Macaca mulatta: one gene and its partners. The protein of the gene in region 1 purifies or fractionates together with the protein of each later gene. This does not show direct contact. Links are inferred from orthologs where the notes say so. Each region holds a gene or a part of one and is shown in the gene's direction. Other genes may lie near its edges.

Evidence for each region.
Region 2: the proteins of DERL1 (region 1) and SERPINA1 purify together in Homo sapiens (affinity purification with western blotting; 4 studies listed by BioGRID). This does not show direct contact. The link is inferred for Macaca mulatta from reciprocal best matches to the Homo sapiens genes DERL1 and SERPINA1.
Region 3: the proteins of DERL1 (region 1) and TMEM129 purify together in Homo sapiens (affinity purification with western blotting; 3 studies listed by BioGRID). This does not show direct contact. The link is inferred for Macaca mulatta from reciprocal best matches to the Homo sapiens genes DERL1 and TMEM129.

What each region holds. Positions count from the first base shown.
Region 1 is NC_133413.1:133,432,098-133,441,518, reverse strand, and holds the end of DERL1 (derlin-1), read left to right. Parts: intron 1-2,513; coding exon 2,514-2,652; 3' UTR 2,653-4,751; downstream 4,752-9,421. UniProt on the Homo sapiens protein: Functional component of endoplasmic reticulum-associated degradation (ERAD) for misfolded lumenal proteins. Forms homotetramers which encircle a large channel traversing the endoplasmic reticulum (ER) membrane.
Region 2 is NC_133412.1:167,662,283-167,672,715, reverse strand, and holds the start of SERPINA1 (alpha-1-antitrypsin), read left to right. Parts: upstream 1-3,979; 5' UTR 3,980-4,170; intron 4,171-5,612; exon of another isoform or gene 5,613-6,060; intron 6,061-10,433.
Region 3 is NC_133410.1:1,833,189-1,843,889, reverse strand, and holds the start of TMEM129 (E3 ubiquitin-protein ligase TM129), read left to right. Parts: upstream 1-5,176; 5' UTR 5,177-5,474; coding exon 5,475-5,679; intron 5,680-7,994; coding exon 7,995-8,454; intron 8,455-8,932; coding exon 8,933-9,092; intron 9,093-9,172; coding exon 9,173-9,421; 3' UTR 9,422-10,701. Other genes in the region: TACC3 (transforming acidic coiled-coil-containing protein 3), read right to left, coding at 2,576-2,718, 2,863-3,024.

The sequences.
Region 1 (9,421 bases):
CCTTTTATAGGGTAGGGGTATGTTTTTCAAAGACTTTTCAAATTGTGAACTGTAATTTACAGAGATATACCATATTGGTGGTTGTGGTGTGTGTGTTTTTCTTTAAGAGAATAAAAGGAAACTTGTTTCTCTTCTGAGCCTTGAATTGCCTTCAGGCTAAAAAAACAAATGACCAATCTGGTTTCTAATTATCAAAGGACATAATAACAGCAGGTTTGGCTTTCTGATCTAGGTTTATCAAGTAGGATGGCAGATGCATCAATTAAAAAAAGCTTGGTGCTTTTGGGGGGCAGCCAACAGTTACTTTACTTTAAATGGCCATATTCTAACTTAACGGCTTGTAGCTACTTCTCAGTTGTGGGCAACACAGGATACAAGATTCTAGTGGCAAAATCAGCAGAGCCCTGGAGCCTGCCTTCCACTTGAACTTTCTCTGTTGGTGGAAGTCCTTCTGCTAAATTTTGCATAAAGATCAGATGACAAAATATAGCTCCTTGCAAAAGCAATAACTGCTTTGAAATTACCATAAATTTTTGTTGATTATGTATAATTGGGTATCTTTTTATACTAATTATTTGCATTTAATTTCACTATCTACTTAATCAGTGGAGATGGCTTCCATATTGTCTTAGAGTGAGTAGCAAAGCAAGACAGCCCTAGCATTGCCTTCTGTAAGTGTTCTATTTTATCATGTACTTTGGAGGAATATTATTGTACCAGAAGGCATGGATGTTGAGAAACCAGCACTTGGAAAATACATTTTGATTTAATGGTAAAGCTGTATTTGTTTAAAATGGAGGAGGTGAGTATAAGAAGGTATAACTACCTTTCTAAATGGAATGCTGATACATTCGTATCACCATTTTCCATTCCATTTAGAGTACTTATATCTTCCCTGTACACATTAAATTTTGTGTTTAAAAGGGGTTGTTGGCCGGGCGTGGTTGCTCACGCCGGTAATCCCAGCATTTTGGGAGGCCAACAGGGGCGGATCACGAGGTCAGGAGATCGAGACCATCCTGGCCAACATGGTGAAACGCTGGCTCTACTAAAAATACAAAAATTAGCTGGGCATGGTGGTGGGCGCCCGTAATCCTAGCTACTCGGGAGGCTGAGGCAGGAGAATCGCTTGAACCCAGGACGGGGAGGTTGCAGTGAGCTGAGATCGTGCTACTGACTCCAGCCTGGTGACAGAGTGAGACTCCGTCTCAAAATAAATAAATAAATAAATAAATAAATAAATAAATAAATAAATAAATAAAAAAGCGGGTTGTTTTCTGTTTTGGGAAGAGGCATGAAGGTATTGAGTATGATGTAAACAGACTCCAGTCACTGACTGCTGTTCCCAGGCAGGAGGCATGTAGTATAACAAGTAGTGCAGGGTGCAGGCTCTGGAGCCAGGCTCACTGGGTTGGAATCCTGTCACTTTTGAAGCGCTTCACTCAGTGTTGGCTCAATTTTCTTGTTTATAAAACAGGAGTAATAGTAATGCCTACCTCATGGGGTTGTTGTGAAGATCAAATGAATTGATAAGCAGGCAGCACCTGGTGTAAGGTAATGCTCGCTGAGTAAGTTCACAGAATAGCTGCTCTTGTATGAGGTCAAGTATAAAGCCTGTCCTCTTCAGGGTTTCTGCTGTGGACAAGTCACTTGTCATGACTTACTCTTGCTGCCAGGAAGGGTTTAAGCAGAGGTATCAGATCATCCTCTCTGCCTTCAAGCAAAATTTTAAACATTAGGATCTGCTAAGTGGAATAGGTTTAAACACATTCTCAGTTCAGTAATAAAAGAGTCAAGGATGGGAAATAGTTGGAAAATACTACTGAGAGTGTAGGCTTGAGTTTAAATTCTCTTAGCTGTTCTGTGAACTCTTAGTTTATTAATTTTAAGGTGGGAAATCATGTAACCTTCTGGGGCCCCAGCTCTCCCACCATCCGTGAGAAGGGAAGAATGTACCTGGAAGGCAGATTCTGAATACATTTTAAAACATACCCATACTTCCAACATAGAAAGCCTTCTTCCCCCGTCTCCTTTGATGGGCTCAGCTGAGAGCCTTTTAGAAATGCTGTGCAAGGCTCAAACACGCAGGCTGTGGATTTGGCCTTTGAAAGTGAATGTATTTTGTATCCTTTGATCCAGTTTGAGCCGTATTTAGATATACCAAGATGCTATCAGTCATTCTTTGGTTGCTGGGCTTGTGGGTGTAATATTTTTGTTTCCATACTGTTCTGCATGGATTACTTTTATAAGCGGAGAAAAAAACGTTCAGAGTGTGAATTTAGCTGAAATCTGAATACATTTAAGAAACATGAAAAACGAATGCCTTCTGTGGTCAGGTCATGGAGCTGAGTACTGAAAACACAAAGTTAAATAAGACATTGTCCCTCATCGCCTTCAACATGACAAGTGCCATGGGAAGAGCAGGAGAGGGAGGTGTTCTCGGAGGTCAGATAACTGTGTGGAAGTGACTTTGTTCTCTTCTCTCCCTTTGTGTCCCCGTCTTTCTGCACCAGGTACCGCTGGCTGCCCAGTAGGAGAGGAGGAGTATCAGGATTTGGTGTGCCCCCTGCTAGCATGAGGCGAGCTGCTGATCAGAACGGCGGAGGCGGGAGACACAACTGGGGCCAGGGCTTTCGACTTGGAGACCAGTGAAGGGGCGGCCTCAGGCAGCCGCTCCTCTCAAGCCACATTTTCTCCCAGTGCTGGGTGCGCTTAACAACTGCGTTCTAGCTAACACTGTTGGACCTGACCCACACTGAATGTAGTCTTTCAGTACGAGACAAAGTTTTTTAAATCCTGAAGACAAATACAAGTGTTCCACAAGTTTCCCGATTCTCATTCAAGTCCTTACTGCTGTGAAGAACAAATACCAACTGTGCAAATTGCAAAACTGACTACATTTTTTGGTGTCTTCTCTTCTCCCCTTTCCGTCGGAATAATGGGTTTTAGCGGGTCCTCGTCTGCTGGCATTGAGCTGGGGAGCTGGGGCTGGGTCACCAAACGCTTCTCAAAAGGACCCTTATCTCTTTCTTGCACACATGCCTCCCTCCCACTTTTCCCAGCCCCCACATGTGCAACTAGAAGAGGTTGCCCATAAAATTGTTCTGCCCTTGACAGGCTCTCTTATTTATTGACTTTTGCCAAGGCTTGATCACAACAATCATATTCACGCAATCTTCCCCTTTTGGTGGCAGAACTGTAGCAATAGGGGGAGAAGACTGAAGCAGCGGATGAAGCGCTTTCTCAGCTTTTGGAATTGCTTCGACCTGACATCCGTTGTAACCATTTGCCACCTCTTCAGATGTTTTCATGAAAAAGTACCACTGAGTCAGTGAGGGCCACAGATGATATTAATGAGATATGAGGGTTGTTGCTGGGTGTTTTTTTCCTGAGTTAAGTGATCAAGACTAGTGGAGTTGTGTCTAACGCAGGGGTTAGGTTTCAACCATGGGGGATGCAACCCCTTTGCGTTTCTTACGTAAGGCATACTGGCTTTGTGTACCCAGAGTAGTTGGGTTGCTTTGTGTTAGGAGGATCCAGGTCATGTCGGCTACAGGGAGATGCTCTCTTTGAGAGGCTCCTGGGCATTGATTCCATTTCATTCTCATTCTGGATATGTGTTCGTTGAGTAAAGGAGGAGAGACCCTCATACGCTATTTAAATGTCATTTTTTTGCCTATCCCCCATTTTTTGGTCATGTTTCAGTTAATTGTGAAGAAGGTGCAGCTCCTCTCTGCACGGAGATCATTTTTTAAAGTTAATATAAGCACAGCTAAGGGAATAACATGATTTAAGGTTGAAATGGCTTTAGAATCATTTGGGTTTGAGGGTCTGTTATTTTGAGTCATGAATGTACAAGCTCTGTGAATCAACCAGCTTAAATACCCACAACTTTTTTTTCGTAGGTGGGCTTTTCCTATCAGAGCTTGGCTCATAACCAAATAAAGTTTTTTGAAGGCCGTGGCTTTTCACACAGTTATTTTATTTTTTGACGTTATCTGAAAGCAGACTGTTAGGAGCAGTATTGAGTGGCCGTCATACTTTGAGGCAACTAAAAAGGCTTCAAACGTTTTGATCAGTTTCTTTTCAGGAAACATTGTGCTCTAACAGTATGCCTATTCTTTCCCCTGCTCTTAAACAGTGTGATGTGTGTTAATCCTAGGAAATGAGAGTTGGCAAACAGCTTCTCATTTTGAATAGAGTTTGTGTGTACCTCTCCATATTTAATTTATATGATAAAATAGGTGGGGAGAGTTTGACCCTTAACTGTCATATGTTTTGTTGTTGATCTGTGGCCACAATAAAGTTTACTTGTAAAATTTTAGAGGCCATTATTCCAATTATGTTGCATGTACACTCATTGTACAGGCGTGCAGACTCACTGTATGTATAAGAATATTCTGACGGTGGGTGACCCGGAGTCTCCGGTGTACCATCTTACCAGTCAGCTGCCTGCGAGCAGTCAGTTTTTTCCTAAAGGTTTACAAGTATTTAGAACTCTTCAGTTCAGGGCAAAATGTTCATGAAGTTATTCCTCTTAAACATGGTCAGGAAGCTGATGACATTATTGATTTTGTCTGGATTATCTTTCTGGAATAATAACAAGCTATTTGAGTTTTGACTTGGCAAGGCAAAACATGACAGTGGATTCTCTTTACAAATGGAAAAAAAAATCCTTATTTTGTATAAAGGACTTCCCTTTTTGTAAACTAATTCTTTTTATTGGTAAAAATTGTAAATTAAAATGTGCAACTTGAAGGTTGTCTGTGTTAAGTTTCCATGTCCGTGCTCTGCTGTCTGTTAGATATCACATAATTTGTGTAACCAGTCATCTCTTGAAGAGCATTTAGGAAGTACCCAATATTTTTTGCTGGATTAATTTCTGGACGCAGAATTCCTGGGTTTTCATTTTAATGAAGGAGGATGCTTCCTAACTTTGAGTGAGGAGTCATACCTGCTTGTAGCATGCTTTATGGCATTTTTATAGCTTCTACTTATGAACCTGAGCCCTGGAACTTTATAAAATTAGATTAATCCCATTTCCTCATGAGGCACACACAGACTACCCCCCCCCCTTTTTTTTTTCTCGAAGGTGAACTCCCAGTCTGTATCTTGGGCCTTCGGCAGGCCAACTTCACTCATCACAAGGTGAGGTGACAGGAATCAGGCTGTATGTATGTCCCTTTTCTATTACTGGGCAAATACTGAAGCAATAGAAAAAGATCCTGCTTATTGAGAAGGACACGTTGCCAGTATCACTGTGTTCTAAGCTACCTTTTGAATGACACTGATCTAATAATAGGCAGTGTTGCAGTTGCCAACATCTTCGTTTGTTGCCAACTCTGTTTGTGAGGTCCCTGCCCCTCTTACACTTTCAGCAGTAACTTAACACTCTGAATAACTAACCTTTGGAAGAAGTTACTCCTTCCTGGACTTTATACTGTTTGTATCTTAGAAGGCTGGGCTGAGCAAATGGGTTTATTGGCAGTTCACTTGTTCGCCTTCCAGAGTGACTGGTGATCAAAATCGGCCAGAAATACCATGTCCCGTGTTTACTTCTTTCTTCAGTCCTTCATACCCTTCCCTCCCTCCATACTTTCCCTCCGGGTCCCTCCCTCCCCCTCCCTCCCTGCCTCTCTCCCTCCCTCCCTCTCTCTCCTTTCTTTCTTTTTTGAGATGGGATCTCACTCTGTCACCCAGCTGGGAGTCCAGTGGCATGATCTCAGCTCGCTGTAACCTCTGCCTCCCAGGTTCAAATGATCCTCCCACCTCAGCCTGCTGAGTAGCTGGGACCACAGCTGTGTGCCACCACACTCGGCTAATTTTTTGTATTTTTGGTCGATACGGAGTTTCACTATGTTGCTCAGGCTGGTCTCAAACTCCTGAGCTCAGGCAAGCCACCTGCCTCGGCCTCCCAAAGTGCTGGGATTATAGGCCTGAGCCATGGTGCCCAGCCTTTCCCATGATTTATATGTGTGGTTTAAGCCTAGGCTCCTTCCTATATGGTCCCCTTATCTCACATCAGCTCTGCTTGTTCCAGTAGGAACCCCATGTTCAGGGGCACACCTGGGCACTGAGCAGTAATGTGCCAGGTACTTTGTGAAAAAGCCTCCAGCTTACGGTTTTTAAAATCTGGCTATACACAAGCATTAAACTTGAGATTTTTTAAAAAATGCAGTTATCTTGGCTCATTCCCATTCTACGTATTTTTGAGGTTCCTAGTGATTCTGATGTTCACTTGGATTTGGGAACTTGTGTTTAAACAAACTTGTGAAATAGTATTATCCCCGTTTTCCAGATAAGGAAACGTAAGCTTCAAATCTCTTGATTAAAATCAGGCAGCAACCAGGTGTGGTGGCTCACGTCTGTAATCCCAGCTGTTTGGGAGGCCGAGGTGGGTGGACCTCCTGAGGTTGGGAGTTTGAGACCAGCCTGACCAACATGGAGAAACCCCGTATCTACTAAAAATACAAAAATTAGCTGTGCGTGGTGGCATTTACCTGTAATCCCAGCTACTCGGGAGGCTGAGGCAGGGGAATGACTTGAACCCGAGAGGTGGAGGTTGCGGTGAGCTGAGATTGTGCCATTGCACTCCAGTCTGGGCAACAAGAGCAAAACTCCGTATCAAAACAAAAACAAAAACAAAAAACAACAACAAAACAAATAAGCTAGAAGGTGCCAAAGACAGGATATGAACCCAACTCTGAGTAGAGACCTCTGTTGCGGCTTTTCAGTGAAGGAAGCCAAAGCAGATGCAAATAGACAATGTCTCTGCCTTCACGACGTGTCCTTTCTACTGAGGCAGTCAGCTGGGCCCATTGTAGGGACTCATATTTGTTGAATAAGCAAACAAGTCATTATAATACAATTTCACCAAACTACCAGAGTAAAAGGAAGTAAATTTCTTGGATGAGAGGCTAGGTCTTGAAAGATTGATGGAGAGTTCTGGTCAAGATGGGGGAAGTCACTCATTCTAGCTGGATTTAGAAACAGCAGCAGCAAGAGCAGGAACTTTGGGGAAGACAGAACTGTGTGCCTGGACCTGTAGAATACAGGCAGGGAGTGGCAGGGAAAGGGGCTAGAAAGATAGATGGGGGCTTATATCAGGAAAACTTGTGTGTGATTGCTTGGACTTCAATCTGTGGGCAGTGGGGAACGTTGAAAAGCCTTCATGTTTGGTCTTTAAAAAGTAGCTGGCAGGCCAGGTGCGGTGGCTCATGCCTGTAATCCCAGCACTTTGGGAGGCCGAGGTGGGCAGATCACAAGGTCAGGAGATCGAGACCAACCTGGCTAACACGGTGAAACTCCATCTCTACTAAAAATACAAAAAAAAAAAAAAAAAAAAAAAAAAAATTAGCTGGGCGTGGTGGCGGGCACCTGTAGTCCCAGCTACTTGGGAGGCTGAGGCAGGAGGATGGCGTGAACCCAGGAGGTGGAGCTTGCAGTGAGCCGAGATAGCGCCACTGCACTCCAGCCTGGGCGACAGAGTGAAACTCTGTCTCCAAAAAAAAAGTAGCTGGCAGCCAGGTGTGGTGGCTCACGCCTGTAATTCCAGCACTTTGGGAGGCCGAGGCGGGTGAATCACCTGAGGTCAGGAGTTCGAGACCAGCCTGGCCAACATGGCGAAACCCTGTCTCTACTAAAAACACAAAAATTTAGCTGGGCCTGATGGCAGATGCCTGCAATCCCAGCTACTCGGGAGGCTGAGGCAGGAAAATTGCTTGAACCTAGAAGACGGAGGTTGCAGTGAGCCGAGATCGCACCATTGCACTCCAGCCTGGGTGATAAGAGTGAAACTTCCTCTCAAAACAAAAAACAAAAAAAGTAGCTGGCTGCCTCTGGGGAGTAGAGGGAGAAGGCTGGGAAGAGGAGAAACGAGGTAAGACGACCAGGTTTTGTACTGGTTGCTGTGATGCAGGTTTAAGGGAAGAGTTGGTTTAAACCAAGGCAGTGGGATTGGGGACTGGATCGGAGGGACCTCCCTGACAGAGAATTACTGGCACTCAATGAGGAAGAGGAGGGTTTTCTTGAAGGGGTTTCCATTGGCGACCAGGGCTTGGATCTGTGTTTCACACACAAGCTGGGTAAAATGCTATTTCTGGCTGTTGGTGCCGCAGCCATTGTAGATAATTAGGTGCTGGCATCCTAACCTGGAAACCTAGCCACTATTCGCAAGTATATTTCTGTGGAAAAAAACATTATGAGCTCCAAATCCATCAACTTGAATGAAAATGAACTTTTAAAATATGATGTCTTCCTGAAATGGGAACAGCTTTGCAGAAGGCCCCAGTGAGGAAGAAGCAATTCTCTTGATTGTATCACCAGCCTTTAGGGCCCAGTTTAAATGTTATTTCATCAAGGAGAGGGCTATTAGACCTGCAGGCAAGGTGAAATGTCTCCTCACATAGCCCCCGGCACCCTGATCTCTGCCTTGGACACTTGTCCCACCTGTGATCATTTGCTTAATATCCCTCCCATGGTTTGTAACCATCCTCAGGACAGGGACTGCAGCTTATTTACAGCTATTTCCCAGTGCATAGCACAGGCCTGCCACATACAGGTGCTTAAGTGTTTCTTGCACTGAACTGAAATTTGGCCTGCGTAGGAATTTGTCCTGCTTAGGGAGAGAGCTAATAATGGCCAAGTCTCCCAGGATCATTGAATGATTTTTTTGTTGTTCATCTAAGGGAATCATAATCCCCTGAAACAGGATATTAGAACAGGTTAGAGACAATGGAAAGAACGGACTCAAAATTAAAATACTTAAAAAAAATGAGCAGCAAAGCAGCTTCTATCTGCAGTGTGTAATCTGCTAATGGGTATGAGTACTGGGGTGATTTGGGCAAAAGGAGACTTGGTACAGAGTGAAGGCAGGCAAGAACACTTGGGAAGATTAATTGAAGATGTAAATTTAGCTTTCTCTCCCCCGAGGAATTCCCCAGTGGCTTGTACAAATTCACATGTATTTGGAGAGAAGGAGAAACCCCTGCCATGTCATCACGGCCAGAGAGACCCACAGGGAGTGCAGAATTAAATCTAGGTGCTAGGCGTAAGGATTGCTTAGGAAATGAGCTCAGTGTGTCATTTGAAGCCTTAACCTGACCCAGATGACTCTGATCTCTCTTTTCTCTCTGTCAGTGTGTTGGCCTTTTCCTGAGGGCTGGCACTCATCTTCTAAGTGTCCTTGTTGGTTAAGGGCAGTCACTGTTAGCTTAAGGGAGCCTTTGGATTTTGATCATTCCTGTCTTAATGTCGAAGTAGGCTCTAAGGATGTAATAAGATGCCTCTGTATCTACAGCCAGGCCCTCTTCTGCTCTAAGCCAGTTTTCTCTTGGAGGTGCCCAGACCCCTTACTGGGGAGGAGGGATTGGAACTTTTCATGATCACAGGCATCAGGTAGGGTTTTCTGACGGCAGGTACC
Region 2 (10,433 bases), on another chromosome or scaffold:
GCGACTGGTTTTGTGTTTTGTTTTACCTAAGAAGTTGCACACCTCACACAAATTTTTAGCATATGCAAAGGTTTCACACTTTCACCCTGGCAAGACACCTTAGCCATCGGATGAAAGAAACGCTCCATTTCCATGATCCTTGATTAACTCAGTTCATGAAGCAACTTTCCATCACCTATTTTGTGCTCAGTACAAAGCCACAGAGATGGAAAAAACACAATCCCTGCCCTCAGGTCACTTGCAGCCTGGTGATGCCACCAAGCTTTGGGGTCGTGAGTCTCACAGCCTGGTTAGAATCTGCCCTCCACCACTTGCCAGCTCTGTGAGCTGGGGCTAGGTGCTCGACGTCCATGAACCTCAGTTTCCTCATCTATAAAATGAGATAACAGAAATATCGACTTCATAGGCTCGATGTGAGGACGAGGAGTTAATCTGTAACAAATGCTTGGAAGGGCTCTGGCATGAGCCATGTGCTCACTGTTAGTTATATGCTAATGTTACAAAGGGATGTGTATGAAGTGTTGTGGAAGCAGCAAGCAGGGAGAAAGAGAGGAAGGGAGAGAGGGAGGTACCTGGTTCAGCATTAGGGTAACACTCTGCCTTGGTTTCCTCATCTGTTTTAAAGAGATAACAGTGGTGCCCACTGCACAGGATAGAGTGAGGTGATGCACATGAAGTGTTTAAGACAGGGCCTGGCAGAGGCCACGTGTGCAAGGACTCTTAGCCACGATTCAGGGGGTGGCATACCACCGTTGGAGTATTTGGAGATTTATATTATAAAATGGAAGCAAGAGACCTGTTAAAATCAAGCAAATAGAAATGCTCAAAGTCAACATGAAGGAGTCAACAGGGTAAATCGAACCATTTGAAGCCAAGGCCAGAGTTGGGCAAATTAAGAGCCCTATTGCTCTCTGTTATCTAAGCCACCCACGTAGGGCATGTATTTCTGAATAATAAGCCTTAAAGTCCTGCTGGGTCTCCCACAGTCCCCATGCAAGAGTGAGTCCTGCACACTCAGCCCTGCCTGTGGTTCCCGGAAGGCCTCTGTCACTGCCTGTTCACTTCCTCTCCCAGGGAAGATACCCCAGTGCCGTGTCTCGGGGCAAGAGAAAATGAAGACAGACCTGGAACATGAACATGGTGGCCTTGTCAGAAAGCAAGTGTGTGTTGCTGAAACATCAGCAGAGATTGTCAAAGGGATAAAGAGATAACTTAAAAGGGTTCCTACTGACCAAAATGAGACAAGTTGGCCATCTAAAATCAAATCATAATTATAGTTCAATAGGACACATTTCGTCTCTTAAATCTTCCAATCCATAATGACCATCATGGCCCATAACCTCAAAAGAGTAAAGTTAAAATAAAGTTCAGAAAAGGTTAGTTGCAATAAAACATTAGTTTTATTAATTTTAACAAGAAGGGGATGAAGCTATAGATGCATTTTTTTTCCTTCTTTTAACTATGTTGCCCCTTACAAGGTACAGCTTTGCCTTATTTTTCTCTGTCTAAGTAAGGATAAAGAGTAAAGGCCGGGCATGGTGGCTCACACCTGTAATTCCAGCGCTTTGGGAGGCCGAGGCAGGAGGATCACTTGAGGCCAGGAGTTTGAGACCAGCGTGGCCAACATGATGAAATCTCACCACTACTAAAAATATAAAAATTAGTTGGAAATGGTAACGCATACCTGTAATGCCAGCTACTCTGGAGGCTGAGGCACAAGAATCACTTGCAATTCCGGAATTCAGGAGGTGGAGTTTGCAGTAAGCCAAGATTGCGCCACTGTAACTCCAGCCTGGGTGACTGAGTGAGACTCTGTCTCAAAAAAAGAAGAAGAAAAACAAGAAGTTGTGAGTAGGCCAAATAGTTCCAGAAAAAGCAGAAATCCACCACCCCCCCGACACACAGGAAGTGGCTCAGGAGGTGACACAGAGAAGGAAAGTGTGTCTGCTGGGGTTTTGCAAGTTGGTTAATTTGAAAGATCCCTCAAGGAGGTAAACAAATGGTGCAAACTTCATTCATTCATCTCCTGGAAGATAAACTTCGAACACCCAACTAACCCCACCAATTAAATGAGTTAAAGGAAGACAGACACAAGTGTCAATTATGCTAACAGAGCTCTGTGTTAAATACCCCACCAGCATCGCCTCATTTAAGCCTCACAACTATGTGGGAAAGAGACTTTTATCCCCATTTTACAGATAAGGAAACCAATTCTCAGAGAACTGAGGCCCTCCCCCAGATCCAAGTCCGCTTAGCTCCAGTCACCCCACGTCCTCTGCATGTCACAGGTGCTCAGAAAGATGCAGATGCACCTTCAGGAAGCCAAAATGAGCAGAGCCCCTAAAGAGCGGATTGACGGCCTCTTTCTGGAAAAAATGGAAGTTTGAATCTGAGGAGGTATCCCTCAACAACAGGTGCTGCTCACCAAGTCTGGGGCCAAACGCAGCAGCTGTTCTCCCACTTAGACCCCTGAGACCTGTCTATAAGGTTTTTCAGAGCGAGGACACATCCCCAAAGGTTGTGGCTTCTGGTGGTTAGCATTGACTTGGGGCCCATCCCATGCCAGAGGCTGCCCGAAGTGCTTAAATGTTATTACCTCATTTGATCTTCACAATCCTAACGGAAGTGACTCTTCTAAGAGTCTCCCTATCTCACAGATGAGGGAACCGAGGCACAGAGAGGTTAAGTGGCTTGTCTAAGAGCTCACAGAAAGAGCGGTGGAGCTAAGGCTTGACCCCAGATGTTAGATCCTGAGCCCATGCTTTAACCAGTGACCTGCACTGCCTCCCAAAGAAGGAAGCTGGTGCCTGGGAGGGAGGGTGCAGAGCGAGGGTGTGCATGGTGCATGTGTGTGTTTGTGGGGTGGCCAGCACTCTTCGGGGCACTTTGCCAATGAGTTCAGCTCCCCTGAAGTCCACTGTTGCTCTCCTGACCAGTCACTCAGTCTGGATTTACTTGGCCCAAGGCCACTGGCACCAGCCTGGCCAACATTGTGGCCAGGCTTACCCCCTTACCCACTTCCTTGCTGCAGACCCCAAATCTTGACTCCTACATCCCTATCCAGCCTATACCACGAGGCTCCCATCTCCGGGCAGGGCCCTGTGATGGGGCAGGGCCTCCCCAGATGCCCCTTGTTCATTACCAGCTCACAGGATCTTCCCATGACGCATTTCCTCTGAGGGGATCAGCCCAGATGCTGCAATAGACAATTCTGGAAGTAACCGAGTGGACAAGACTTTCCCCATCGTGTCCTGGGGTTCCTGGGGTCACAGTGTCCTTGTGAATGGCCACTGAGTGCTCCCACCTCCCCCTACCGCCCGGGGTTTTGTCCTGGTGCATTTTCCCAGATCATCCCAGCCCTTCCTCCCAGGATGGATGTCCAGAGCAGGGCAAGGGCTGAGCCTAGAGCCCTGGAACCAAAAGAACAGGACCCCAAATTCTGAGCCCCTTACTTGCCCCACCTGCTCCCACCCATGCTTTCTTCATTCCTCCTCCAAATGCCCCAGCTCCCCACTGCAATCCCTTCTGCACCCAGCCAGGTCCTATGACACACACCTCCCCAGTGCACACAGACCTGCCCAGCCGCAGGGCTGCCCACTGGGCATGTCATAGGTGGCTCAGTCCTCTTCCCTCTGCAACTGGCCCCAGAAACCTGCCAGATGTTGGTGCCAGGTCTGTGCCAGAAGGGCAAGGCCTGTCATTTCTAGTAATCCTCTGGGCAGTGTGACTGCACCTTTTACGGCAGCTCAAAGGGAGAGGGTGACTCGTCCTGGGTCACAGAGCTGACAGGGCGGGTAGAACAGGTGATATGCAGGGCTTTCTGAGTTTATGAGGGCCCAGTCTTGTGTCTGCCTGGCAATGGGCAAGGCCCCTTCCTGCCCAAGCTCCCCGCCCCTCCCCAACCTATTGCCTCCGCCACCCGCCACCCGAGGCCAACTTCCTGGGTGGGCAGGAACTGGGCCCTGTGCCCAGGGCGTGCACTGCCTCCACGCAGCAACCCTCAGAGTACTGAGCTGAGCAAAGGAGGAGGAGGGGATCGGCACTCTGAGGAAGGCCTAGCCACTGCTGCTGCCAGGAATTCCAGGTAGGAGGGGCGGCAACCTTCTGCCAGCCCCCAGGCCACTCTCCTGTGCCTGCCAGAGGAGACGGAGCTTGAGGAGAGCAGGAAAGGTGGAACAATGCTGCTGCTGCTCACTCTGTTCCACAGATGGGAGGGACAGTGGGGCTTGGAGTGGGGGTCATGGCACAGATGGGAAAATGAAGGCTCAGAGAGGGGAAGAAATGCCCAGGAGGTACCGAGGGCAGGCGACCTCAACCACAGCCCAGCACTGGAGCTGTGAGTAGACGTAGAGTAGCAGAATATCCATTCAGCCAGCTCAGGGGAAGGACAGGGGCCCTGAAGCCAAGGCATGGAGCTGGCAGGGAAGAGAGCTCAGAGAGAAGGGGAGGGGAGTCTGAGCTCAGTTTCCCACTGCCTGAAAAGAGGGTGGTACCTACTCCCCTCACAGGGTAACTGAATGAGACTGCCTGGAGGAAAGCTCTTCAAATGTGGCCCACCCCACCCCAGTGACCCCTGACATGGGGGAGGAAGGACAGCATCAGAAGGGACTTTCCGGGCACACCCAGCACCCAGCTCTGAGCTGTCCTTGAACTGTTGCATTTTAATCCTCACAGCAGCTCAACAAGGTACATACCGTCACCGTCCCCATTTTACAGATGGGGAAATTGAGGCTCAGAGCAGTTAAACAACTCACCTGAGGCCTCACAGCCAGTAAGTGGGTTCCCTGGTCTGAATATGTGTGCTGGAGGATCCTGTGGGTCACTCACCTGGTAGAGCCCCAAGGTGGAGGCATAAGTGGGACTGGTGAATGACAGAAGGGGCAAAAAACACACTCATCCATTAATTCTGGAAGTATCCACGGCACGTACGCCAGCTCCCAAGCAAGTTTGCACATTGCACAAAGGGTGATGCAATCTGATTTAGGCTTTTAAAGGGATTGCAATCAAGTGGGGCCCTACTGGCCTCAACCCTGTACCACCCCTCCCTTCCATCCCCAGTAGTCCCCAAAGACCTCCATCAACCCCAGGATGGGGGCCGTATTCCCAAAGAAAATCCAAGCTGTATACGCATCACACTGATTTTCCAGGAGCAGAAACAGAAACAGGCCTGAGGCTGGTCAGAATTGAACCCCCTCCTGCTCTGAGCAGCCTGCGGGGCAGGCTAAGCAGAGGGCTGTGCAGACCCACATAAAGAGTCTACTGTGTGCCAGGCACTTCACCCAAGGCACTTCACAAGCATGCTTGGGAATGAGACTTCCAACTCTCTAGGATGCAGGTGAAACACTTCCTGGTTCAAACAGGTGAAGCGGCCTGCCTGAGACAGCATCACGCTTCTTTACAGATTTGCTCTCCCACCTCTACCCTGTCTCATGGTCCCCCATGCCGGCCTGACGCTTGTGTCTGCCTCAGTCATGCTCCATTTTTCCATCCGGACAATCAAGAGGGTTTTTGTGTCTAAGGCTGACTGGGTAACTTCGGATGAGCGGCCTCTCTGCTCTGAGCCTCAGTTTCCTCATCTGTCAAATGGGCTCTAACCCACTCTGATCTCCCAGGGCGGCATCAGTCTTCAGCATCAGGCATTTCGGGGTGAATTAGTAAATGGTAGATCTTGCTACCAGTGGAACAGCCGCTAAGGATTCTGCAGTGAGAGCAGAGGGCCAGCAAAGTGGTACTCTCCCAGCGACTGGCTGACTCACGCCACCCCCTCCACCTTGGACGCAGGACACTGGTTTCTGAGCCAGGTACAATGACTCCTTTTGGTACGTGCAGTGGAGGCTGTATGCTGCTCAGGCAGAGCGTCCGGACAGCGTGGGCGGGCGACTCAGCGCCCAGCCTGTGAACTTAGTCCCTGTTTGCTCCTCCGGTAACTGGGGTGATCTTGGTTAATATTCACCAGCAGCCTCCCCCGTTGCCCCTCTGCACCCACTGCTTAAATACGGACAAGGACAGGGCTCTGTCTCCTCAGCCTCAGGCACCACCACTGACCTGGGACGGTGAATCGTAAGTATGCCTTTCACTGCGAGAGGTTCTGGAGAGGCTTCTGAGTCCCCCACGGCCCAGGCAGGCAGCAGGTCTGGGGCAGGAGGGGGGTTGTGGAGCGGGTATCCGCCCGCTGAGGTGCCGGGCAGATGGAGGGGCTGCAGCTGGGCTCCTATTGTCGTAATAACAGCAGCCATGAGGGTTGTGTCCTGCTTCCCAGTCCTGCCCGGTCCCCACTCAGTACCTACTGGTGGATACACTGGCTTTTGTAAGCAGAAGTGCACGAGGGTGTCTAGCTCCGCGGTCCTGGCACCCCAAGATACAGCAACAGCAAGGAAGCGCAGCCATTTCTTTCTGTTTGTGCAGCTCCTGTGTCTGTCAGGGGGTTCCTATCTGTTGTCTCCTGTAAGCCTCACCACCTCTCCTACTACTTGGACACGCATCTTTTTCCCCTTCTATGGATGAGGAGGTTAAGGTTCAGGGAGGGGTGAGGAGGAACGCCGGCTCACATTCTCCATCCCCTCCAGATACGGCCAGGAACAGACCTGTGCCAGGTCTCAGCCTTACATCAAGATGGGTCTCCCCCTGCACTGTGGACCTCTGGGCCCTCCTGTCCCAGTGGAGGACAGGAAGCTGTGAGGGGCACCGTCACCCAGGGTTCAAGCTGGCATTCCTGAATAATCGCTCTGTGCCAGGCCACGGCTAAGCTCTGTGCACGATTAAGCCTCATAACCCTCCAAGGCAGTTACCAGGGTGATTCCCATTTTACAGATGAGGAAGTTGGGGACCGAGTGGTTAATAACTGGCCCCAAATCACACACCATCCATAATTTGGGCTCAGGCACCTGGCTCCAGGCCCCGAAATCCTGAGCCTGGCCCTAGTGCTCACCGTTTCTCTCAGGTCTCAGGCGCTGGATGGGGAACAGGAAGCCTGGGCTGGACTTGAGGCCTCTCTGATGCTCGGTGACTTCAGACAGTTGCTCAACCTCTCTGTTCTCTTGGGCAAAACATGATAACCTTTGACCTCTGTCCCCTCCCCTCACCCCACCCGACCTTGATCTCTGGAGTGTTGGAAGAATTTAATTTTTCCTGCACTGAGTTTGGAGACAGGGGTCAAAAAGCTGACCAAGGCCAAGCTGGCCAGTTTCCCATAGAACGCCTCTAAAAGACCTGCAGCACTAGCAGCAAGAACTGGTATTCTTGAGAACTTACTGTGCACCAGGCACTTCTTGGTATTTTGTGCATATTTAATTTCACAATAACTCTATGACAAAGTCCACCTTTCTCATCTCCAGGAAACTGAGGTTCAGAGAGGTTAAGTAACGTGTCCAAGGTCACACAGTTAATAGCAAGTTGATCTGGAGCAATCTGGCCTGAGAGCCTCTAATTCTAGCCACAAACTGAGGCTGCCCCTCTTCATTTAGCCAGGCCACCTCTGAAATCTTCTGGTTCAAGACTTCTGGCTCCAGCTTTGTACACAGAGACGATTAAATGTCAGGTTTTGCAGTCACATCTGTTTAATCCCAGACAAAACATCTGGGATTAAATCTCAGTTTTGTAAGCAAGTAGCTCTGTGATTTTTAGTGAGTTATTTAATCCTCTTTGGGCCTCAATTTTTCTGTCTATAAAATAGGGTTAATCATTTGCACCTCATAGGGTAAGCTTTGAGGACAGATTAGATGATACAGTGCCTGTAAATCGCCTGGTGTTAGTAAGTGTGGCAATGATGGTGACACTGAGGTTGATGTTTGCTTAGCATAGGTTAGGCAGCTAGCAGGCAGTAAACAAATACTTGGAGAATTTAATGGAAAATTGGCCAAACTCAGATGCTGTTCACTGCTGAGCAGGAGCCCCCTCCTGCTGAAATGGGTCCTGGGGAGCGCAGCAGCTGGCAGGAAGAAATCTGCCATCTCTCGGGCAGGAGCTCAACCTCTGTGCAGGCACAGGGACGGCTTCCGCACCTGGTGCCCACTCTCGCATTACGTCAGTTATTCCTCATCTCTCTCCAAGGGATTCTTTTCTCCACTGTATAGCTCTGAAGCCAATGCTCACAGAAGTGAAGTCATTTACCCCGGGCCCCCTGCCAGTAAGTGACAGGGCCTGGTCACACTTGGGTTTATTTATTGCCCATTTCAACAGGTCGTTTGACCATAGGCGAGATTCTCTTCCCTGCACCCTGCTGGGTTGCTCTTGGTCCCTTATTTTATGCTCCCGGGTAGAAATGGTGTGAGATTAGGCAGGAAGTGGCTTGCTTCCCTCTCCCTGGCCCTGCAAAGGGTGCTCCCACCTGCCCCAGTTCCAGAAATGTCACCATGAAGTCTTCATTCTTCTGTTTTAAAGCTTGGCCTCAGTGTCCATACACCATGGGGTACTTGACCATCTACTTTCTCCTCTCCAGCCGCCCTCCCAGGCACTAGCTTTTGAGGGTGCAGGGTGCTGCCTCTGATAGAAGGGCCGGGAGAGAGCAGGTTTTGGAGTCCTGATGCTATGAGGAACAGCTTGGGAGGCATAATGAACCCAACACGATGCTTGAGACCAATGTCAGAGCCCAATTCTGCCATTCATCATCTGAGATTTGAGGGCACAGCTGTCTCAGTCCGTGATCTGAGTGCTGGGAAAGCCAAGACTTGTTCCAGCTTTGTCACCAACTTGCTGTATGGCCTCGACAAGGCCCTGACCCTCTCTGGGCTTCAAACTCTTCACTGTGAAAGGAGGAAACCAGAGGAGGTGATGTGACGCCAGGAAAGATGGATGGGTGTGGGGAATTGTGCTCCTCCCAGCTGTCACCCCCTCTCCACCCTCCCTGCACCAGCCTTGCCACCTCCTTCGAGCCCAGCAGCCTCCTGTCTAGGAGGGTGCCTCTTCTCCATCTGTTTTGCTACATCGAACCCAGATGCCATTCTAACCAAGAATCCTGGCTGGGTGCAGTGACACTCACCTGTAACCCCAGCACTTTGGGAGGCCGAGGCAGGCGGATCAAGAGGTCAGGATTTCAAGACCTGCCTGGCCAACATGGTGAAATCTCGTCTCTACTAAAAATACAAAAATTAGCCAGACGTGGTGGCATGTGCCTGTAATCCCAGCTACTTGGGAAACTGAGGCAGGAGAACTGCTTGAACCCGGGAGGCAGAGGTTTCAGTGAGCCAAGATCACACCACTGCACTCTAGCCTGGGGGATAAAGCGAGACTCTGTCTCAAAAAAAAAAAAAAAAAAATCCTATGTTAGCGTACAGAGGTCCCCAGTGAGGTCTTCTCCCAGCCCCACTTTGCACAACTGGGGAGAGTGAGGCCCCAGGACCAGGGGATGCTTACTCAAGGCCAAATGGATAGTGATGGCCCTGCCAGGACTAGAAGCCACAACTTCTGGCCCTAAGGCCACTCAGCGTATTTAGTGTCCCCACCCTGCAGAGGCCCAACTCCCTCCTGCCCTCTGAGCCCTGTAATGATGGGGGAATTTCCATAAACCATGAAGGACTGCACAAAATCCAGCTGGGAAGTGAAAGAGAAACCTAAGGGAGATGGAAATATACAGCACTAATTTTAGCACCGTCTTCAGTTCTAACAACACTAGCTAGTTGAAGAAAAATACAAACATGTATTATGTAGTGTGTGGTCCGTTCCATTTGGATTACTTAGAGGCAAGAGGGCCAGGAGAAAGGTGGTAGAGAGAAACCAGCTTTAGGCTTCATTTTGTTGCTTTACTGGAAAGAAACTTTTAACAGTCCAGGGGGGTCAATGAATCTCAATATTTGTTATTTCCAACTTTTTTCTCCAGTGTTTCATTTCCCAAATTCAAGGACACCTTTTTCTTTGTATTTTGTTAAGATGATGATTTTACTTTTGTGACTAGTAGTTAACTATGTGGCTGCCAGGCATATTCTCCTCAGCTAGGACCTCAGTTTTCCCATCTGTGTAGACAGCAGGTTCTACTTAGGGGGCTGCAGATTGATGGTCCGAAGTCTGGGCATATCTGGAGTAGAAGGAGCACTGTGGGGCATGGCAGGCTCTGCGTTGCTGTGGATGACACTGACTTTGACCATTGCTCAGCAGAGCCTGCTCTCGCCGGTTCAGCCACAGGCCCCACCACTCCCTATTGTCTGAGCCCCAGCTATGAAACATGTATTCCTCACTGGACTATCACCTGAAGGCTTTGAATTTGCAACACCTGTCAACCCCTCCCTCAAAAGGGTTGCCCTCTCAGATCCTTTTGATGTAAGGTTTGGTGTCTAGACTTATTTCACTAAATTCTTCCAACAGCCTCACTTTATGTATGAGGCAAAATGAGGACCAGGGAGATAAATGACGTGTCCTGGCTCATACACCTGGAAAGTGACAGAGTCAGATTAGATCCCAGGTCTATCTGAAGCTAAAAGAGATGCTTTTTCACTTCCCAC
Region 3 (10,701 bases), on another chromosome or scaffold:
GACCTGTCGGACTGTTCACAACTCCTCTGCTGCCCAGCTGCCACCTCAGGGTGGCGTTGCCCTCCCAGGCGGCTACTCAGCTGTCCTTGGAATGATACGTGGGCAGCTGCACACAGCGGCTGCTCTTGGTCTCATCCCACTGACGTGGGAGCACCACAGCAACCACCAGCTGGGCCAAAGCAGAATTCCAGAAGGGAGATGACAGCCACGAGCCCAAGCCACGAGCTCAGAGTCACTCTGGCTGCAGCCCCACAGGGCCACCCTCCCAAGCCCCTCCTAGCTCCTTTACACCCTCTGCCCTATGGAGGCTGCTGGGTGGCCCTGGAGGCATAGGGCAGAGGCAAGGGCATCTGTGGCTCTGGGACGGATCACACCCATGGCAGCTGGGAGACGACTTCTCTGCTCCTGGTCCTCCCCTCCTGCTTGGGGTCGTTGTGAACCAATGTCTGATTCATTCTCACTTTGTTTGACCAAATTTCAAAAGGGGCAAAATCCAACTTGAAAAGTAGCAAGCAGATATAGCAAGAACTGCAAATTCAGGCTGGAGGGGTGGAGGGGAGACAGGCCCAGGGCCCAGAGAAGGACATAGGAAATGCTGCCTGCACTTACTGGTGACATTTTATCTCAGGGAGTGAGAAGCATTAGTGGTATTGTGTTCCTTATGCTCTTCTTCGCACACCTAAAATCTGTTTAAAAGTTTTGGGCCAGTCGGGCGTGGTGGCTCATGCCTGTAATCCCAGCACTTTAGAAGGCCGAGGCGGGCAGACCACTTGAGGTCGGGAGTTTGAGACCAGCCTGACCAACATGCAGAAACCCTGTCTCTACTAAAAATACAAAAAATTAGCTGGGCGTGGTGGTGCATGCCTGTAATCCCAGTTACTCGGGAGGCTGAGGCAGGAGAATCGTTTGAACCCGGGAGATGGAGGTTGTGGTGAGCTGAGATCGCGCCATTGCACTCCAGCCTGGGCAACAAGAAAAATTCCGTCTTTAAAAAAAAAAAAAAAAAAAATTGGCCGGGCATGGTGGCTCACAACTGTAGTCCCAGCTTCTAAGGAAGCCAAGGTGGGAGGACTGCTTGAGCCCAGGAGGTGAAAGTTGCGGTGAGCTGTGATGGCACCATGGCACTCCACCCCGGGTGACAAAGCGAGACCCTGTCTCAAAACAGCAACAACAGTTACATCAGCAAAAACCAGCAGAAAATCATGCCTCTGGGGTCCCTTCCCACCCTGGATGCAGATGAGGTGTTCCTAGGTGCCCAGACCGATTAGTTCAGCCACAGAGTAAAGAGCTGCTTCCAGGGTCCTCCCTTTCCAGGCAAAGACAGACACCGCCTTGCCATCCGCTTGCAGTTAAGCATCAGGTCGGACAGCAGACTGCCAATGCCAAGCCTAACCCAACACCCAGCGCCTGGCAGAGCCCTCCAACCATGCACACTCTGAGGGGTGGATCACACAACATGGTTTCTTTGCCTACAAGTCCATCTGCTCTTTCCAAGTCCTAATAGGGTGGGCGGAATTCAAGATAAATGAAACTATGGATTGCCTTCCTGGAGATGGGGCCAAGACATTTCATCAAATTAGAGGAGCAAAGATCGAAGCCAATTGGTTGGCAAAAGCCCAGCAAAAATGTGAAGTATGGGCTGGGCGCGATGGCTTATGCCTGTAATCCCAGCACTTTGGGAGGCTGAGGCAGGTGGACCACCTGAGGTCAGGAGTTCGAGACCAGCCTGGCCAACATGAAGAAACCTCATCTCTGCTAAAAATACAAAAATTAGTCAGGTGTTGGTGGGCACCTGTAATCCCAGCTACTGGGGAGGTTGGGGTGGGAGAATCGCTTGGACATGGGAGGCGGAGGTTGCAGTGAGCAGAGATCGTGTCACTGCACTCCAGCCTGGGCAACAAGAGCAAAACTCCATCTCTGGGGTGGGGGGGAGTGAAGTATTAAGTTACCCAAGTATCTGATGGTCGACTTTTCTGTTAGTGAACTGGTGGGGGGGAGTGAAGTATTAAGTTATCCAAGTATCTGATGGTCGACTTTTCTGTTAGTGAACTGGTGGGGGGGAGTGAAGTATTAAGTTATCCAAGTATCTGATGGTCGACTTTTCTGTTAGTGAACTGGCCACATGCTGCATACACTCAGTGCAGATTTCAGGAGAAATCCAGCCAGGCCGGCCGGGCGCGGTGGCTCACGCCTGTAATCCCAGCACTTTGGGAGGCTGAGGCGGGTGGATCGCAAGGTCAGGCGATCGAGACCATCCTGGCTAACACGGTGAAACCCCGTCTCTACTAAAAAATACAAAAAAATTAGCCGGGCGTGGTGGCGGGTGCCTGTAGTCCCAGCTACTCGGGGAGCCTGAGGCAGGAGAATGGCATGAACCTGGGGTGGGTAGAGTTTACAGTAAGTGGACATAGTGCCACTGCACTCCAGCCTGGGCAACAGAGCAAGACTCCATCTCAAAAAAAAAAAAAAAAAAAAATTCCAGCCAAGGCCTGACAGAACAGGACAGCACGTTTCTGCAAGAGCCATCGGACAGAGAGGGTGAAGCTCCAGCATGTCCAGTAGCATGAACACTTACTTCTCTTTCTGAGTCCACACCGGGTGACAGTTTTCCAGTCCAAGGGTATCACCCTGAGCCAAAGGAGCCTCAAGTTTGCTGGCCATGCTAGGACTTAGAATCCTGTGCGTCTGTGGATCCCGCAGAGGTGTCTGAAAAGTCACCTGTTGTGGAGTGAGGAGGAGAGCACCCATTCATTAGTTCAAGCTGTTACAGCCACACCAGCAGTGTCCTGCAGCTCAGAGGTCACCAGGAAAGCAGGTCCTAGGGCAACCTGGCTAGCCACACACTGTAGAGGTCACACTTACCTTCATAGCTTTGGCCACGTTCTTGGGTGGCACATTTTCTTTCTGTGACACACGAAGAACAGACGATCTTCCGGTAACTTCTGGTGAGGAAAACAGGAAGTCGCAATTTTCTGTACTTTTTTCACTGCTGACATTTTTGTCGTTTAAGACCTGCAGACTCATTCTGGAAAAGCAGAACATGTTTGTGTCAGTGTGAGGGCAACACAACCATGTTGTCCAGACACAGACATGACAGCTGCCGCAGGGAGCACGACCCCTTCCGGCACAGGTGTGCTCATTGTTCTGGAGCTCACACCTCCCACACATGTCCTCTGCCAAGTGGGGCAGAGAAAGCCTCCGATTGAGTCCCCATCCTGCTTCAGAGACTCACTCTCCAGCCTGGCACCGGGAGCCATGGGCAGCACCGCTGCCTCCTGGGACCAAGAGCTAAAGGGCCTTCAGGCTAAGATGGTGAGAAAGAAAAACCAAGACCGCATAATCTCTACTGTTGTATTACCACGTCAGGCAGAAGTCAGGAGACAGGAAAGCCCTGGCCTATAAGAAACCCAGAAGAGCCAGAGGAAGCCGCGGTCTCCCCACCGGCCTCCGCGTGTGGCGTGAGGCAGGACCGGGCAGCAGAGGGCAGAAAAGCAGGACAGCGGCTCTGGTCTGCTTTCTCCCACCGGGCTAGGCAGCGGGACAAGACCAGGCTGGGGTGAAGGCCCAGAGGAGGAGCTGGGAGACAGTAGGCGAACAAGGGACGCCCAGAGCTGAGCAGCAGGTGCCAAGGAGCTTCCATATCAGGGCCTCCAGTCAGTCCCAGGTTCCAGGGCCGCCCAGGTCCTCACACCAGTCACCCACACACTTGCCACCCTTTCTGTCTACAGCGTTCCCAGTCTAGGGAATGACGTAGGCAGAAAGGCTGCCAGAGAGAACCGAGTGTCGACCTGGGCAGGAACCCCACGGGCACCTGTTGGTGGTGGGGGACCTGGGAAGGCTTTGATTTGAAAAAGAGCAAAGTTGGGGAGGGTCCTGGAGAAGAGAGAGGGGCAGCCCGGGCAGGTCGGTGCTGCAGCTTGAGAAGCCCACTGTGGTGCTGTGTGTGGGTAGGGAAGTAAGGGCAGGAGGGAAGCAGGGAAACCACACGCTTCTGCAGCCCGAGGAGTAGAGGCCAGACCAGACCCGGGCCTGGCCACTGGCATATATGGGACTTACAGACGACGCTTAGGTTTTTGGCCTGAATAACTGGGTACAGGGCAGGGGAAGGGCAGCTGGATCACTGGGGGACACGCAAGCCTGGAACTCAGGGAGAAAGTGACTCGGAGGAAGCCTTCCGGCGGCCTGGAGGAGTGCGGGAGAGCAGCAGACCCAGCCTTGGTCAGGAGGGGCCTTTACCGACTATGGAGCCCCGGGAGGGGCTCTGGGCAGGGAAGGGACCGGCCCCAGGCCGGTGCTTTGATGCTACTCTGGTGCACAAGTGGGATGCGGCGCGGGGGAAGATGGAGCGGCGCAGCAGGTGCGGGGAAGCGGTCGGGGCCCAGGTGTCCGCCACAGGTGGCCCAGATGGAGTTGGCACCAGGACGGAGGCCGGAAGGGACCAAAGAACCACAAGAGGGTCTGCGAGCTGGGAGCCAACAAAGAACCAGGGTGGGCGGCCGAGAGGCAGGAGAGGGTCGAAGAGAACAAAGCACTTCAGGGCGCCCGCTCCGCCGTCGGGCTCGGCCCAGCCCTAGCCGCCCCCGGCCACCGCCCAGGGGATCCAGCCCGGTGGTCGGTCTAGGGCCGGGTCCCATGACAGGGCGCGGGACGGGCCCCGGCGGCCCGGGAAGAAGCCGTGGGGGACGCTTCCCGGGGAAAGCTGCGGCCAGGGCGGGAAGGCGAGGGCCGAGGGCGGGGCGGGACGGCCTCGCGCCCCCGGGACCCCAGCCTCCCCGTGCCGTGTAGACGCTCGTCTACCTGCCTGCCCGCCCGTTGCCGGGCTCTGAGCCCGCGCCGCCGCCGCCAGGAAGGAGGGGTCTGGATATGCGTCTGCTCCGCGCCGGGGGCGAGCCTAGTTGCTGCCGCTGCCGCGCTTCCAGCCCTTGATGGCCGCCGGCGCGCCCGAGTTTCAAACGCCGACGGTTGCCTTCGCGCGGCCAATCAGCACGCGGCCGGGGGCGGGACCGTAGGAGGGTGGGGGTCCAATGGGAAGCTGTGTCTCGCCGGCCCCGCCCCCCCGTGCGCCGACGGTTCCGTTTCCGGAGTGGAGGGCCTGCCGGGGGTGTCTGAAGCTGAGACCGCCGGCTCGCCGTCGCCGCACGAATTTCGGGTTCTGCAGCTGACGCTACTGGGCGGGGCTTCGTGGCCAGGGACTGAGAGCCGCTGGCTCAGGCCTAAGTTTCCCCAGCTGTGCATTGAGACCAGGTGCAGTGCCGCCTCCAGGGCGGGCCCTGAAGAGAGGCCGCACCCTCACGGGGACTGCATCTCCCAGAGCGCCCCGCGGGCGGCCGGGCGGCGGGACTCCATCTCCTAGAGTGCCCCGCGGGCGGCCGGGTGGCGGCTGCCGCAACCGACACGTCGGGGTCTGGGCGCTGCGGCCTCTTCCCCGCGCCGGGGGCGGGGTCCTCGCCGGACAGCTTCCCGGCGGCGGCGCGATGGACAGCCCCGAGGTGACCTTCACTCTCGCCTATCTGGTGTTCGCCGTGTGCTTTGTGTTCACGCCTAACGAGTTCCACGCGGCGGGGCTCACGGTGCAGAACCTGCTGTCGGGCTGGCTGGGCAGCGAGGACGCCGCCTTCGTGCCCTTCCACTTGCGCCGCACGGCCGCCACGCTGTTGTGCCACTCGCTGCTGCCGCTCGGTGAGGCTGCTCCGGCCGGCCAGCCGCGTCCTCTCCTGCGCAGGGCTTGCTGGGAGGTCAGGAGGAGGCCTCCGCCAGCTCGCCGAGGCCCCGAAAGCGCCTGGGCGCAGCTGGGGAGAGGCGCCGGTCCTCATCCAGAGGGACCGCGGCGTGGGCTGAGCGCGCTTAGGGGCGCCGCCGGCGCTGGCTTGCAGGTGACGGGAACCCAAGTACAGAACCTTGGGCAGGGGATGCCCCGGCTCACCATGTCCTGAACCGTCACATGCCTGGGGGTTCCAAGGCCAAGCAGCCTTTGCTTGTCGTGGTTGCGGGCAGTGGCCAGGAGAAGGCAACTGTTGATTGAGTCCAACAGAAGGGGTCGGAGGGACTGTGTGGAGGGTGGCATTGCTCTAGGCCTTGGAAGGTGGGTGTGGGGAGAACGGGCGGATTTGGAGGCAGTTCCAGTTTGGGGGCGCCACAGAGGCAGAGGCTGAGGAGGGCCTCTGTGCAGGTGGGACCCTCAGAGTTGTCCGGGGGGTGTTGGGCTGGGCCCCAGGTGGTAACTGGGGCTCTGGAAGGTCCCCGTCTCAGCCAGTTGGATGACAGACAGGTGGGAGATGGGGGGTGCAGTGGTTGGAAAGGGATTTCAAGGGGGGACCTCTGGAGGACACAGGGGCAGACGCAGCTCTGGGAGGACAAATGGCCAGTGGCTGGCCAGGTCTGCCGCTCTGGGGAAACAAGAGGGGTGACCCTCCACATCCCGGTGTGAGCATGCAGCTGCCCGGGCCCGGGGGAGCTGGAGGCAGGTGTGGGGTGGAGACGCCCAGGCCTGCCTCAGGCTGGGGGCCCACTTGGGAAATGGATGGGGCTGAGTGGGGCTAGGGCCCTGACCAGGCCGCTTTCGAGGCCTACTGGGTGGGTTTCTGTATCCCTTCCAACTGCACCCTCCCCAGACGCCTGTGAGGGACCACAAGTGAATCATGGAGGCCACACCTGAAGCAGACAGCACAGCTGACCTCACAGCTGGATGTCAAGCTCTTTTTATTTTTAACTTAGTTTGAAAGTTTTCAAGCTTTATTAGGTATTAGTTACCTATTTATTTATTTATTTTTTTTGAGACGGAGTCTCGCTCTGTCGCCCGGGCTGGAGTGCAGTGACCGGATCTCAGCTCACTGCAAGCTCTGCCTCCCGGGTTTACACCATTCTCCTGCCTCAGCCTCCCGAGTAGCTGGGACTACAGGCCCCCGCCCCCGCGCCCGGCTAGTTTTTTGTATTTTTTAGTAGAGACGGGGTTTCACTCTGTTAGTCAGGATGGTCTCGATCTCCTGACCTTGTGATCCTCCCGTCTCGGCCTCCCAAAGTGCTGGAATTACAGGCTTGAGCCACAGCGTCCGGCCTATTTATTTATTTTTTTGAGACGGAGTCTTACTCGGTCGCCCTGGCTGGAGTGCAGTGGCACGATCTTGGCTCACTGCAACTTCATCTCCTGGGTTCACACCATTCTCCTGCCTCAGCCTCCCGAGTAGTTGGGACTACAGGCGCCGCCACCAGGCCCGGCTAATTTTTTTGTATTTTTTAGTAGAGACGGGGTTTCACCGTGTTAGCCAGGATGGTGTCAATCTCCTGACCTTGTGATCCGCCCGCCTGGGCCTCCCAAAGTTCTGGGATTACAGGCGTGAGCCACCCAGCCCCAGTAACCTATTGTTATATGTCACATTACCTTGAAATGCAGTGACTGGGCCAACTCCAAATGTGGACTATTACTTTTTGCCAACTGGAAGCTGCTAGTGCAACTCCTCACCGTCTCCATTGCTTATTTGGACCTTCAAATTGTCCCCGATCTGGCCAGCAGGGCCCTGAAGCTGGCCTTGTGTCCTCTGGACGTGTCCCATCATTCTTTGACACTTGCTTCCTTTCTCACACACAACTTCTCAGCTCTGGGATGGGCCACGTTTGACCAGCCTTCTCAGAGCTGGTGAGATTGAGAGACTGAGATCCTGTCCAAGCAGCTGCCCTGGGCAGGCCAGGGGTCAGCTCTGCCTGAGGGGACACTTCATTGTGTTTATTTTTCTCTTTCTAGGCTTTTGTAGTTTTTTCAATATTTACATAATGTGTGAAACTAAAGCAGCAAATTAAAAACCTTTTCCCCTAATATATCCTGCCATTGCCACAGGCAGGGACAGAGTGGGCCGGCTAGGGAAGTGCAGAGTGGGTAAAACCCACTTACCCTGGGAGCTGACCCTGGAACCCGGGCAGAGGGCCGGGCCCAGGGCTGTGTGGGGGTGGACAGCGGCCTGGCACCCACTTTCTCCTGAGGCTCACCCTGTCCTTTGCAGGCTACTATGTGGGCGTGTGCCTTGCGGCTTCAGAAAAGCGGTTCCATTCCCCCGCCTGGCGGCTCTTCCTGCTGCTGGCCGTGACCCTCCCCGCCGTCGCCTGCATCCTGATCTACTACTGGTCCCGTGACCAGTGGGCCCGCCACCCACTGGCACGCACCCTGGCACTCTATGCCCTCCCACAGTCCGGCTGGCAGGCTGTTGCCTCCTCCATCAACACTGAGTTCCGGCGGATTGACAAGTTTGCCACCGGCGCACCAGGTGCCCGTGTGATTGTGACAGACGTGTGGGTGATGAAGGTGACCACCTACCGAGTGCATGTGGCCCAGCAGCAGGACGTGCACCTGACTGTGACGGAGTCTCGGCAGCACGAGCTCTCGCCAGACTCGAACCTGCCCGTGCAGCTCCTCACCATCCGTGTGGCCAGCGCCAACCCTGCCGTGCAGGCCTTTGACATCCGGTAAGAGTGTGGTGCCTGCGGGGGTGCAGAGGGCACGCGGCAGGCCAGAGCCAGGCTCTGGCGCCATGACCCCTGGGAGGTGCTAGGCGTAGCCGGTGTGGACTCCAGCACTCATGGGCTTGTGTGACACCAGGCAAGGTGTCCACGAGACACCCGTCACTGAGCCCTCCCGCATAGCCCTCCTTCGGGCCCCCCTGCACTCTTGGCCTCCCCTTCCACTCTCCCTGGAGCCGTCTCCCCCAGATTCTTGGGGAGCACTCAGGACAGTGCAGCCCTCAGGCTGGACAGCTGCCTTGCTCCTAGGTCTGCCCCATGCCCAGGTTGGGCCGTCTGGCACTGGGTCCCTGGGCTCTGGCCTTAGGGCCATCTCTCCTGGTTGGTCCTGGTGCGACAGCTGCCCTGTCACTCCTTGGGGTATGGCCTCCATCTCCCCCTCCCTTTGCCCTGCAGAGGGCCCCAGCAGCTCTCCTCCCTGCAGGCTGAACTCCACTGAGTACGGGGAGCTCTGCGAGAAACTCCAGGCACCCATCCGCAGGGCAGCCCACGTGGTCATCCACCAGAGCCTGGGCGACCTGTTCCTGGAGACATTTGCCTCCCTGGTAGAGGTCAACCCGGCCTACTCAGTGCCCAGCAGCCAGGTGGGGGCCTGGGCCAGGTGGATGGGTGGGTGCCCACAGGTGTCTGCCTGGGCTCCTGGTGACGCTCCACCTGCCCGCAGGAGCTGGAGGCCTGCATAGGCTGCATGCAGACGCGTGCCAGTGTGAAGCTAGTGAAGACCTGTCAGGAGGCAGCCGCAGGCGAGTGCCAGCAGTGTTACTGCCGCCCCATGTGGTGCCTCACCTGCATGGGCAAGTGGTTCGCCAGCCGCCAGGACCCCCTGCGCCCTGACACCTGGCTGGCCAGCCGCGTGCCCTGCCCCACCTGCCGCGCACGCTTCTGCATCCTGGATGTGTGCACTGTGCGCTGAGTGGGCTGGGGCCTTGAGGTGACTCTGTGTCCCCCCAGCCACGGGGCGGGGAAGGGGGTGGCTGGGTCTCCTGGCTGGTAAAGGGCTCTACTTAAAGCACATGATCTGGAGCAACTCACCTCTGCCCTGGGTCTGCAGAAGGCTGAGGACTTTTGGTTAAAAGCAATCCTCATGAAAACACCCCACCCTGCTTGGCAGCCAGGGTACAAGTCCTGGGTACCTCCTCTTCGCCTCCCTTCTGCCCCCTTCCTGCTGCTGGGGGCAGATCCTGCACACACAGAACACAGCGTTTGCCCCCGAGCCATTCCCTGGAGACCCTGGGTCTACCCCAGGTGGTCGTCACCTGGGCCATTTGCCTTACTTCCCTGGAGCACACCCCCCTCAGTTACATGCCAGACCCAGATCTGCATTCTCCTGCCCTGTCCTGGAGCTGGCCCCTGGCTGCCTGGAGAACCCTGGGTAGGTCCCAAGGGTGGGATAGAGAAGAGGGCACCGCTGTGGTGTGGGAGCAGTCCTGGGGCTTCCTGGTGGCTGTGGCCAGTTGAGGGCCATTCCTGGGTGGGGTAGCAATGGAAGGACAGGTCAGAGTGCCCTCATTTGTGGGGCTGCCCCTCAGGGGTTCTCATCCTGTCCTTGGTGCCTTCTGCTGCCCAACAAGTCCAGGGAAGGCCGAGGCCTCAGACTCCTGGGTAGGGGTGGGGGTTGAGGACCAAAGTGCCATAGTGACATCCAGAACACAAGCCCACCAGGGTGCAGCACAGGCTGCCCACTCCCCCAGGGTATCCCAGGCTCAGAAGGGGGTACACGCCCCATGTGGTCAAGGCTCGGGTGAGTGTCTTGCCCAATTCCTGTTGGTTCAAGGGGAGGGGAGACGTTGGCCAGGCCCCAGGCACAGCCCTGACACAGCCGTGGCTACTGGAGAGGCCTCACACCTGCGGCCCCAAAGCCCCTGGGCTTGGCTGTTTCACACAGAGGTGATAGACTCAGGTGGCCTGACCCTTGGGATTTGGGAGGCTTCCTGGAACACTCAGCAGGTGAAGGCAGCAAGGGCTGTGGCTGGGAGCCAGACCTAGCCTTGATCCTGAGTTTTTTGTTTATTGGTTTTTTTTTTTTTTTTTTTTTTTGACACGGAGTCTCGCTGTGTCGCCCAGGCTGGGGTGCAGTGGCCGGATCTCAGCTCACTGCAAGCTCCGCCTCCCGGGTTTGCGCCATTCTCCTGCCTCAGCCTCCTGAGTAGCTGGGACTACAGGCGCCCGCCACCTCGCCCGGCTAGTTTTTTG